Oryzias latipes: one gene and its partner. The protein of the gene in region 1 purifies or fractionates together with the protein of each later gene. This does not show direct contact. Links are inferred from orthologs where the notes say so. Each region holds a gene or a part of one and is shown in the gene's direction. Other genes may lie near its edges.

Evidence for each region.
Region 2: the proteins of arid4a (region 1) and brms1 purify together in Homo sapiens (affinity purification with western blotting; 3 studies listed by BioGRID and IntAct, with this or other methods). This does not show direct contact. The link is inferred for Oryzias latipes from reciprocal best matches to the Homo sapiens genes ARID4A and BRMS1.

Annotation. Positions count from the first base shown.
Region 1 is NC_019880.2:2,470,015-2,474,272, forward strand, and holds the start of arid4a (AT-rich interactive domain-containing protein 4A), read left to right. Parts: upstream 1-1,147; 5' UTR 1,148-1,496; intron 1,497-1,527; exon of another isoform or gene 1,528-2,321; intron 2,322-2,330; exon of another isoform or gene 2,331-2,434; 5' UTR 2,435-2,483; coding exon 2,484-2,489; intron 2,490-3,589; coding exon 3,590-3,700; intron 3,701-4,258.
Region 2 is NC_019876.2:12,603,203-12,607,564, reverse strand, and holds the start of brms1 (breast cancer metastasis-suppressor 1), read left to right. Parts: upstream 1-1,371; 5' UTR 1,372-1,503; intron 1,504-3,282; exon of another isoform or gene 3,283-3,393; intron 3,394-3,473; 5' UTR 3,474-3,479; coding exon 3,480-3,705; intron 3,706-3,786; coding exon 3,787-3,877; intron 3,878-3,982; coding exon 3,983-4,110; intron 4,111-4,362. UniProt on the Homo sapiens protein: Transcriptional repressor. Down-regulates transcription activation by NF-kappa-B by promoting the deacetylation of RELA at 'Lys-310'. Promotes HDAC1 binding to promoter regions.

The DNA of each region.
Region 1 (4,258 bases):
GGCTTCTAGCGCCAAACTGATTTGACAGCAAAACAATGTCACGTCTGTCAGCGACGCTCGCCGTCACGTGTGTAACATCGGGCAATGGAGAGCAAAAAAACCGTAAAACTTAAAATGACAATTGTTGATCTGATCGTGGGGCATTCAAACGTTTCCGGTATTTTAGAGAGTTCTGCGCGTGTAAAAATGAATTATTCTGACCGAAAAGGTGGCGTAACCCTAACCTTAAACGTTTGTTATGTACACAGTTCAATTCTAATCCCATCTTTGATCCAATCAAAGATATTTTGCACACAAAACCGCGGCTACTGATGCCTGGCTCCAACATGACGGCGTCCATACCGCAAAGAAATGGCGACTGAATCGACTTCATTTGGTACTAAACTATTTTTTTATGGGTGCCGTTGCTCAGTCCAGTTCTCAGCTACACTCAATGGTAGTTTTCTTAAAAAATGTTAGGTACGACTCATAGCATCTTTGAATACAACTTGCTGTTTTGTTTAATGTCTGTCAGTAGATTGAAGTTTTTATCCTGTTTTGCTGGAAGGTAAGTATAAATGACGGTCTAAAATCAATACAAGGAAACATCTGAATATTCTATAGAGGTCAGATAGTCTGCTGTGTCAATTGTTTAAAACAAAAAATAGAGTTAATTGACAAAAATTGTGGAGTTTACAGACAGCGATACTGGAAGAATTCCTGACGACTTTTTGTCTCTTTGGCTTGCCATACTCTTCAACGTCCTCGCGGTTAAATGTTTTGACGGACCACGACAGGGGAAAAAACAACGAAACTGAAATATCAGGCGACCTTTTAATAAAAACGCGTCCAGCCATCATCGAGTTGATCATGTGACTCGGTAAAATAGGTGGTTGATGGCGGCAAAGCGAGTCTTTGCGTGAAGCGAATGTTTTGCAGCGTGTGAATCACGGTAAACACGGTATCGACTCCTGGCTTCTAGGCGCACGCGCGTCTGCGACACCGACGGGATTGTCCTTCAAGTTCAGAGCACGAGCACGGGGGGGAAAAAACGTGTTCGTGTCGAAGGTTTTGTGTTTGGTTCGAAGGTTTCTAGCACGTAGCGGGGGGGGGGGGGGGGGCTGGGCTTCCTGTCCTGTCGGTACAAAGAAGGAAGCCGCTTCAGCCAATAGGAACGTAGCGCTGCGGGAACAAACAGCGGACAGCCAATAGGAATCTCTCCCGTTTCTTCCTCACCCCCTCCCTTCACGTGTCACTTTTGCTGTGACTGGACAGCCGGCAAAGCGTTGCAGTATTTTCTCTCGTGGCGCCGTGTTCGTATGGACCAATAGCAGCAGAGCATGGAAACAGCCAATGGAAACGAGAGAACGCACCCACCAATGAAATGTCTCCGTTGTCACTCCCGCTGTCAGCGCAGCCAATCACGTGTCCAGAAAGCCAGCTCGGGGCTCAACAGCTTGTTGTTCGTGTATCGTTTTGCAGCTCGAGCGAGAGGGGAAGAATTCGCGGCAGTGAATGTAAGAACGAATATTCCTATTAACCGATCAACACCGTTTTTTTTACTGCGTAAAGTGTGTCGGAGAGCGGGAAGAAGAGGGGCGCGCGGGTGTCAGTTGAGAGTGGGGCTGGCCGCTGTACGGAGGCTGCCTGGGAACTGAATGGCAGTGAAGAAATGTGGAGCTTCTGCGCCTTTGTGGAAGGCAGAAGAGCCGCTTATTAAATAAATAAGTTCGCGCAGCTCCCGCTCCGTCCGATGACACCGAATCGCGGCTTTTCGGACCGAACCGCCTCTCATATTCGGAACAAAAGCGATGCGTAGCAGTTGGCGGAGGCTTGTCTGCTAGTGGCAGACAGTTTAAATCACCGTGTGATCACTAACTAGCTAGTTGAGACGCTTGTTAGCTAAAATAGCTCGATGTCGCCGCGAACGAGTCGAGAGAGACGAAGCTCGCGCGCGGTTCGCACTTTTCTGTTTCCGTGTCGGGATTCTGTCGTGTCGCAGAAGCCCGTCCGCCCTCGTGTCGTCCAAAAGGCGGCTTTTTTTTCTCTCCCCCTAGCATGGGACGTGGTAAAGTTAGCCGAGCTAACTCGACTGACATGGCGAGCCGTGATCATGGCGACGTGACTCGGCGGCTGTGGGAGCGGAGCGGGAAGTGAAGGGACTGCCCTCCGCGGGGCTTTTTTTTTCTATCCTCTAGTACCGTCGGTCTGGAACCGGCGGGGATTCGGAGCTTACATTTGGCGGACGCTGTTGTTGGCTAAGTTTGTGTCACATATTTTGCCCAGATCCAGGAGGGAGGGGAGGGGAGGAGCAGCAGCGGGGCAGGAGAACGCTTCAGCTAGTGCGTGGCTAGTTGTTAGCTTTTACGCGGCTCCGGTTCGACCCAGCCCCCGCCGCCGTTCGGCTCCCAGCAGCCCCAGCGCCTCACCTCCCGCTTTGCTTTTTGTCTTCCAGAGATCGTAAGCCCTTCGAGCTGGACTCCCAGTAAAACCCGGACGGAGAGATGAAGGTGAGTGTTTTCCTGAAGAAGACGGCGCCCGCGTCCACTCTTCTTTGAGCCCGTCCATCATGGTGGAACCGGCTTGTTATGGCTGTTCACACCGGGCCGTTCACATCGGTTCTGCTCCGATCCCAGTCCAGGTTCAGAACTTTGGCGTTATTTTCGGTATCTGAAACGGAACCGTGTGTTAATTAGCCCGTAAAGCAGTTTCTCCAGACGCTTAAAGGTCAGTCAGTCAGAAAGTCGTCTGTCATTTTGGATCTGCTCCTAAAGTCCAAAAATAGAAACAGAAATCAGTTGTTTTATCTTTAAGAAAAAGGCACTTTTACAAACACCGTTGATCAAAGAGGATTTGTGACAGGATTCTAGAAAAACGTATTTATCCGTTGAAGGAGGAAAACCGAATCTGTCAAATGGATTTATTCAGATTATCTGTAGAATCTGGTGTTCGTCGGCCCGATGCTCGGATGTATATCGCATCAGTTCTAGGCACAAACGTAAATGTTTGGACGGTACTCGGGTCTGGAAGTGTTGTCACTGCAGAAGTGTGGGTCTCCCTGTAGAAGTTCTCCAGCTACACTTTGCTCTCTGAGTCAGGGAGACGACTGCTTCTTCGGCTCGATCATGAGGCCGCCGATCTGGACCTTGGGTCAGTGAGAGAACCCAAACATCGGCCAACCGACGGCAGAAATGCTTTGGACACGTTGTCGGATTCAGACGCTCTCAAAGTGGCGTAAGAACGGAGAAATGGAGCGCTGCAGTTCAGACAGACCACAATACTTATTAACCGGCTGTGTCTCAACAGCAATGAGAGTTTCCTGTTGGTGTCCTAAAGTCCTGATGGTAAAAATGAGTCTCAGGAGCTCCGGGTTGCTTCCCTTCTGACCGCAGCAGCAGTCGGATGTCTGAAGATGTCCTCCATCACGGCACAGATGGTGCCGTGCACATGCAGAGCTGAACGGGCTGCAGTCCACCCTCGCCTGCCAGTTTACTGAACTTAAATGAAATATAAATTCATCGAAGCTGGATTTTTTTTCTCCTCCTGTTAAAATGAAGTTCCATCTTTTGCTATGGACTCTGTTTGAGAGCAGGCCTGTGTTGTGTTTCAGGCAGCGGACGAGCCTGCCTACCTGACAGTCGGCACAGATGTCAGCGCCAAGTACAGAGGAGCGTTCTGTGAAGCCAAAATCAAGACCGTGAAGCGCATGGTGAAGGTCAAGGTAAGACCTGAGGGGGCAGGTGTGCGCGTGAGCTGGATGTGTGTGTGTGATTGTGCATCCGCAGGATGACGACGGCCCAGGAAACGGGATCAAACCACAGCTTATGCAATCACACCAGCTGATCACTTCCTGTCGATTAGTCACAGTAAAGTACATACAGCCACTTGGACACACAAAGTGTGACATTTTACCTCATTAACACAAACGGTTATTGCTACTGAAAGTCTTCAAGTGAGGTTTGTTTTTGCACAAACGTTGACAGTTTGATGGAGATTTTCATAACAAAAGACAAATTCCAGATGAATGAGATTTTAGGAACAGCACTGGATCAGAACCACAAAAGACGTCAGTCCAAGTCAAGACCATAAAACCAAATTTAACCCATGGATGGAATTCACATCATCTCTCATGTGAATCCCCGGTAGCGAAGCCAAAAAACAAACCCTGTCCTCGGATGGGTCACGTTGTCATCCTCACGGTCTCCTCCGTCGCTGTTGAGGGAAGCCGTGTGCGGTGGAGGTTGTCCTCCACCGCTCGTATACGCTCTGAGGCCGACAG
Region 2 (4,362 bases), on another chromosome or scaffold:
ATATGAGGCCATCTGTTTCTGATCCTGGGCCAATCAGATCAGAGCCTGAAGCGGCAGCATTTGAGCGACTGCGAACACTTGCAGGGATGTCTGAGCTTCACTGCCTCTTTTACAGCAGACACACACACACACACACACACACACAAACACACACACACACTGGGGGCCCACTTTATCCTGCTGCACCGTCTCCTTGCCATCCCCTCCTACCTTCTTCCATGCATCCTCCTGTCCTGCTCCCTCATCGCTCTTGAGTTTCCTGTTTTCAAACAGATGTTGCCTTAGGTATTATTTATGTTACACAAACCAAATAAACAGGAGACATCTTTGCTTTTTTCTTTAGATGTGCTACCAGGTGGAGCTACATCTTGTGGGAGAATCTTGGATTTTCCTTTTTTGAGATTCTGTTTTTTTTTTTAAACCAATATTTTTTAGGTGTGTTTCATATTTGCCGTAGGCCTTGATGCAGTGATGCTGTTCAGATAAACCATGTGTTTGAATGCTGGTCTGTTTATAAATTGTGATCGCGACCCTTCTCAACGCCAAGCCTTGGACTGATTTGTTAGCTGAAGAAAAATCCATTCAGATGTGATTGTTTTTGCCTTCTCAATGATGTTTCCAGATAGATCGACTGCTGTTTTTTAGTTTTTACTTTTCTTCCCTTTTTCGATCAGTAAAATTGCACCAGGCAAGTTCAGTCAGCAGCTGAATTTCAGTGGATTTTCATTTTTAAAGTTCAAGTTTTGGATTATTATTATGTCTTCTTAGACTGTTATTGACAAGTCTGGTTTTTTTTTTACTGTTTGGGAAAGAAAAAAAACGATTTTACCATTGAGGTTAAATACAAGAGCTAAACCATGCAGATTAGACGTGTTAGGGGAGTGTACAGTTTTTAAAAATTAGGCAAACCAACAAACACATGTAGCAATATCAACAACAGGTCTTGTTTTTGCCCAATTTTGTTACTTTTATGCAACTTTAATAAAAAATATGTAAAACTGACGATTTGTGGATCATTTTCTTTTAATGTCAATATTTTTGCTCTTCCGTTTATTATTACACGTATCAAAAAAAATTTTGCTGTATATGCATGAGGTTGAGCAAAATTATTTTATGCTCAATTTCATTTTACATTTTGCGTTTCATGTGACGTAAACATAATCAGAAATTGTATTTTTTTCTTGTAGTGTTGTGTTTAAACAACAATTTTTCATTCTACTTAATTATATTATATTTAAATTATATGTTGGAGATGTATATCTAAATTACAATTGGTTCATAGAAGCTGTGTCTTCATTCTGATTGGACAGGGTGCTTGCGGGATGGTTCTTCCTATTGGATAGTCAGGAGCAGCCCTCGACGCTGATTGGTTGATTTTACAGTTCACAGAGTCCGGCAAAGTGTCTAACTGAAGAGGAGCCGATCGAAGAGGAAGTACTTTCCAAAATGGAAATATATCATTAAACCGAACGTTTCTTCTGCATAGCTCGGCTAAGGGACACGGTAAGATGGCTTTCACGTCTGACTTAACAGTAATAAAGATGATTTATGTTTGTTAGTAGCGGATAGCATCCCCCTGTCCGCTCGGACTCAGGGAGTGCGTTCTTCGAGTTAATCCGTGTAGTTCGGTTGGCAGGTCGGTCTGCAAGATGCTCCTATGATTCTCTGGAGTGCTAATTTCCATCTTTAATTAATAAAAACGTTTCAAGAAGATTTCCATGAGAAAGGCGGTTCCTTCGTGTGTAAATGTGATGCGTGCGCAGTGACTGCCGTCTCCGTTTTTGATTCAATTGTTAGCTTGTGTTGCACTTGACTTCACGGAGGTGTGTTTGAGCTCAATGTGGTGAAAGTGCGGCCGAAATGCGAAATAAACATTACAGGGTTTTTAAGTGAGTGCAGCCTTCAAAACGAGCGTCTCTTTTCCTGACTTTAGTGTAGGCTTTAAATCCCGCCGTTGCTTTCATTTTGTTTACCAGTTTACTCTACCTCCATACGGAAGCCAGTTTTGGTCAAGTTAAGCACTGTGAAAGCGGACTTCCGGTTTGAATAAAAACCTAAATGGCAATTTTCAACATTATTGAACCTTTTTAGGCCTTTAGACGTTTAGAAAAAAATTATTTTCAGTTTTTACCACACGCTTATTACACATTTTGCCATGTTATGCAATGTAAAATAATTATTGTTTATTTAGCATTTGTTTTTAGCTAATCGATTTCCGGTTTTGACCCTTGTTATTGTAGCTTTATTAAAGCTAAGTCATCGTCAAGGTTTGACTTAACCACATTACATACTGAATAAATGTAGTTGTAATTTAATGAATTCACCTGTAGAACGTGTATAATAATGTAACGTGAATCTGTTAGACCAAAAACTGTTTGGACATCTTTAAGAATCTTTAAAACTCCTAATGTTATCAAATAAACGAGGTCATCCCATCAGTAAAAACACAAATGCCGCATATCTTACAAACATCATCACAAGAATACTTTAAAAAATATATGGCTTTGATTTAAAAGCATTTGTTTTGCCAGATGTTATAAATGCATTTCTGACATACAGTGTAGGAAGTGTTTGATCTCTTGCTGATTTTGTTGGTTTGCATTCAAAAGAAATTGTCATCTGAACACTATGTTCATTTGAACAGTGAAAGATAGAAAAGCGAGAAATCGATTTTAAAGTATTTGTGAATTTATTTGCGTTTCATTGAGGGAAACTATTATTTTAACTGTCTTGCTGGGAAGACGTAGTACTTTATTGGAAAAGCCTTATTAGCAGCACAGAAGTCAGACATAGTTGATTATCAGGTTTCTGCACATATCAGGAAGAATCTTGGTCCACTCTTCTTTGCAAATGACTTCTAAATCATCAAGCCTTAATGGCTGTCGCTTAGCAACCCTAAGCTTCAGCATTCCCCATAGATTTTCTATAGGACTGAGGTCCAGGGCCACTCCATGGCTTTGATCTGCTTCCTCTGCAGCCATTTCCATGATTGACTTGGCTGTATGATCAGATTTAACTTCCTCCTCCACGCTCGACAGTGGGGATGGTGCTCTTGGGGTCAACAGATCTAGAATCTTCTCCAAATAATCCAGTGAAAGCTCTTTAGTCTCTCATGTTGGAGAGTTTGGAGTCTGAATGATTCTGTGGACAGGTGTCTTTTCTACAGGGGATTGGTTCAAACAGGTGTCTTCAATTCAGGTGACAGGATTAGGAGAGTCTGTGTGAACCAGAACTCTTAATTCTTACTAAAGGATCAAATACTAATTTCCCTCAGTGAAATGCAAATAAATGTATATCAATTCTTTTAAATGGATTCATTGGTTTTCTTTGTGATTTTCTAAATCGCATGAACCATTAAGATGACAGACTAAAACCTTTTTCAGTAACACTCAGGTAGGTCTGTGGACCATCAGGGACATGTGGATTTTGTGACTGAAAGCTTTTGTCGTTGAGCTTGTCGTTGTTGTTTCCAGCTCGCCATGCCGGCCCAACCCCCTGTGAGGGAGCCAGAGGAGAAGATGGGGGCAGAAGGAGAGTCCCAACTCCCTACGGCCAACGGCGACACGGAGGAGCCAAAGCGGAATGAAACGAGAGCAGGAGGGGGAGGAGACGAGCCCATGGAGGAAAGCATGGAGGAGAGGGACAGCGACCTGGATGAGACTGAAGAAGAGGAGGAGGAGGAGGAGGAGGAAGAGGAGAGTTCAGGTAAAAACAAAAAAGGTTTTTTATAGAAGTGATTCAAAAATGCAGAGAGAATAAATTTCCTTTATGTGTCCTTTTGTGAAGAGATGGACGATGAAGACTGTGAGCGGAGGAGAGGAGAGTGTCTCGATGAAATGATGGATCTGGAGAAACAGTTTCAGGAGCTGAAGGAGAAGTAACTCCAAACTTGGCACTGGGGGGGGGGTATTATGGGATGTGGTCTGCTATGTGAACATCACTGGTCAGGAAAACCTCGACTAAAGGGCCTCTGTGCTTGCAGGCTGTTCCGGGAGCGGCTGAACCAGGTGAAGGTGAAGCTGGATGAGGTGCTGACAGGAAAGGCTGGAGAGTACCGGGAGCCGCTGACGGCTCTGCAGAACAGCATGCAGATACGGACGCAAGTCGCCGGTAAAAGAAAAAAACCCTCCTCCCTTCTGCAGCTACGTTCACCCCGCCTCAGTAACGCACATTCAGGCGTAAATGCACGTCAATGTGCATTTTGGACTTCCATGTTGAAAACTCTCATGTTCACGAGTTGTAACGCAAGTTTCTATGAACATTTTTTGGCTCTAAGTACAAAACGCGGGGCCATTGAACGTGTTTTGCAAGTTAAACCAGTCAAACTTTGACTAATCAGAGACTCTGATTTGGTAGTGACGT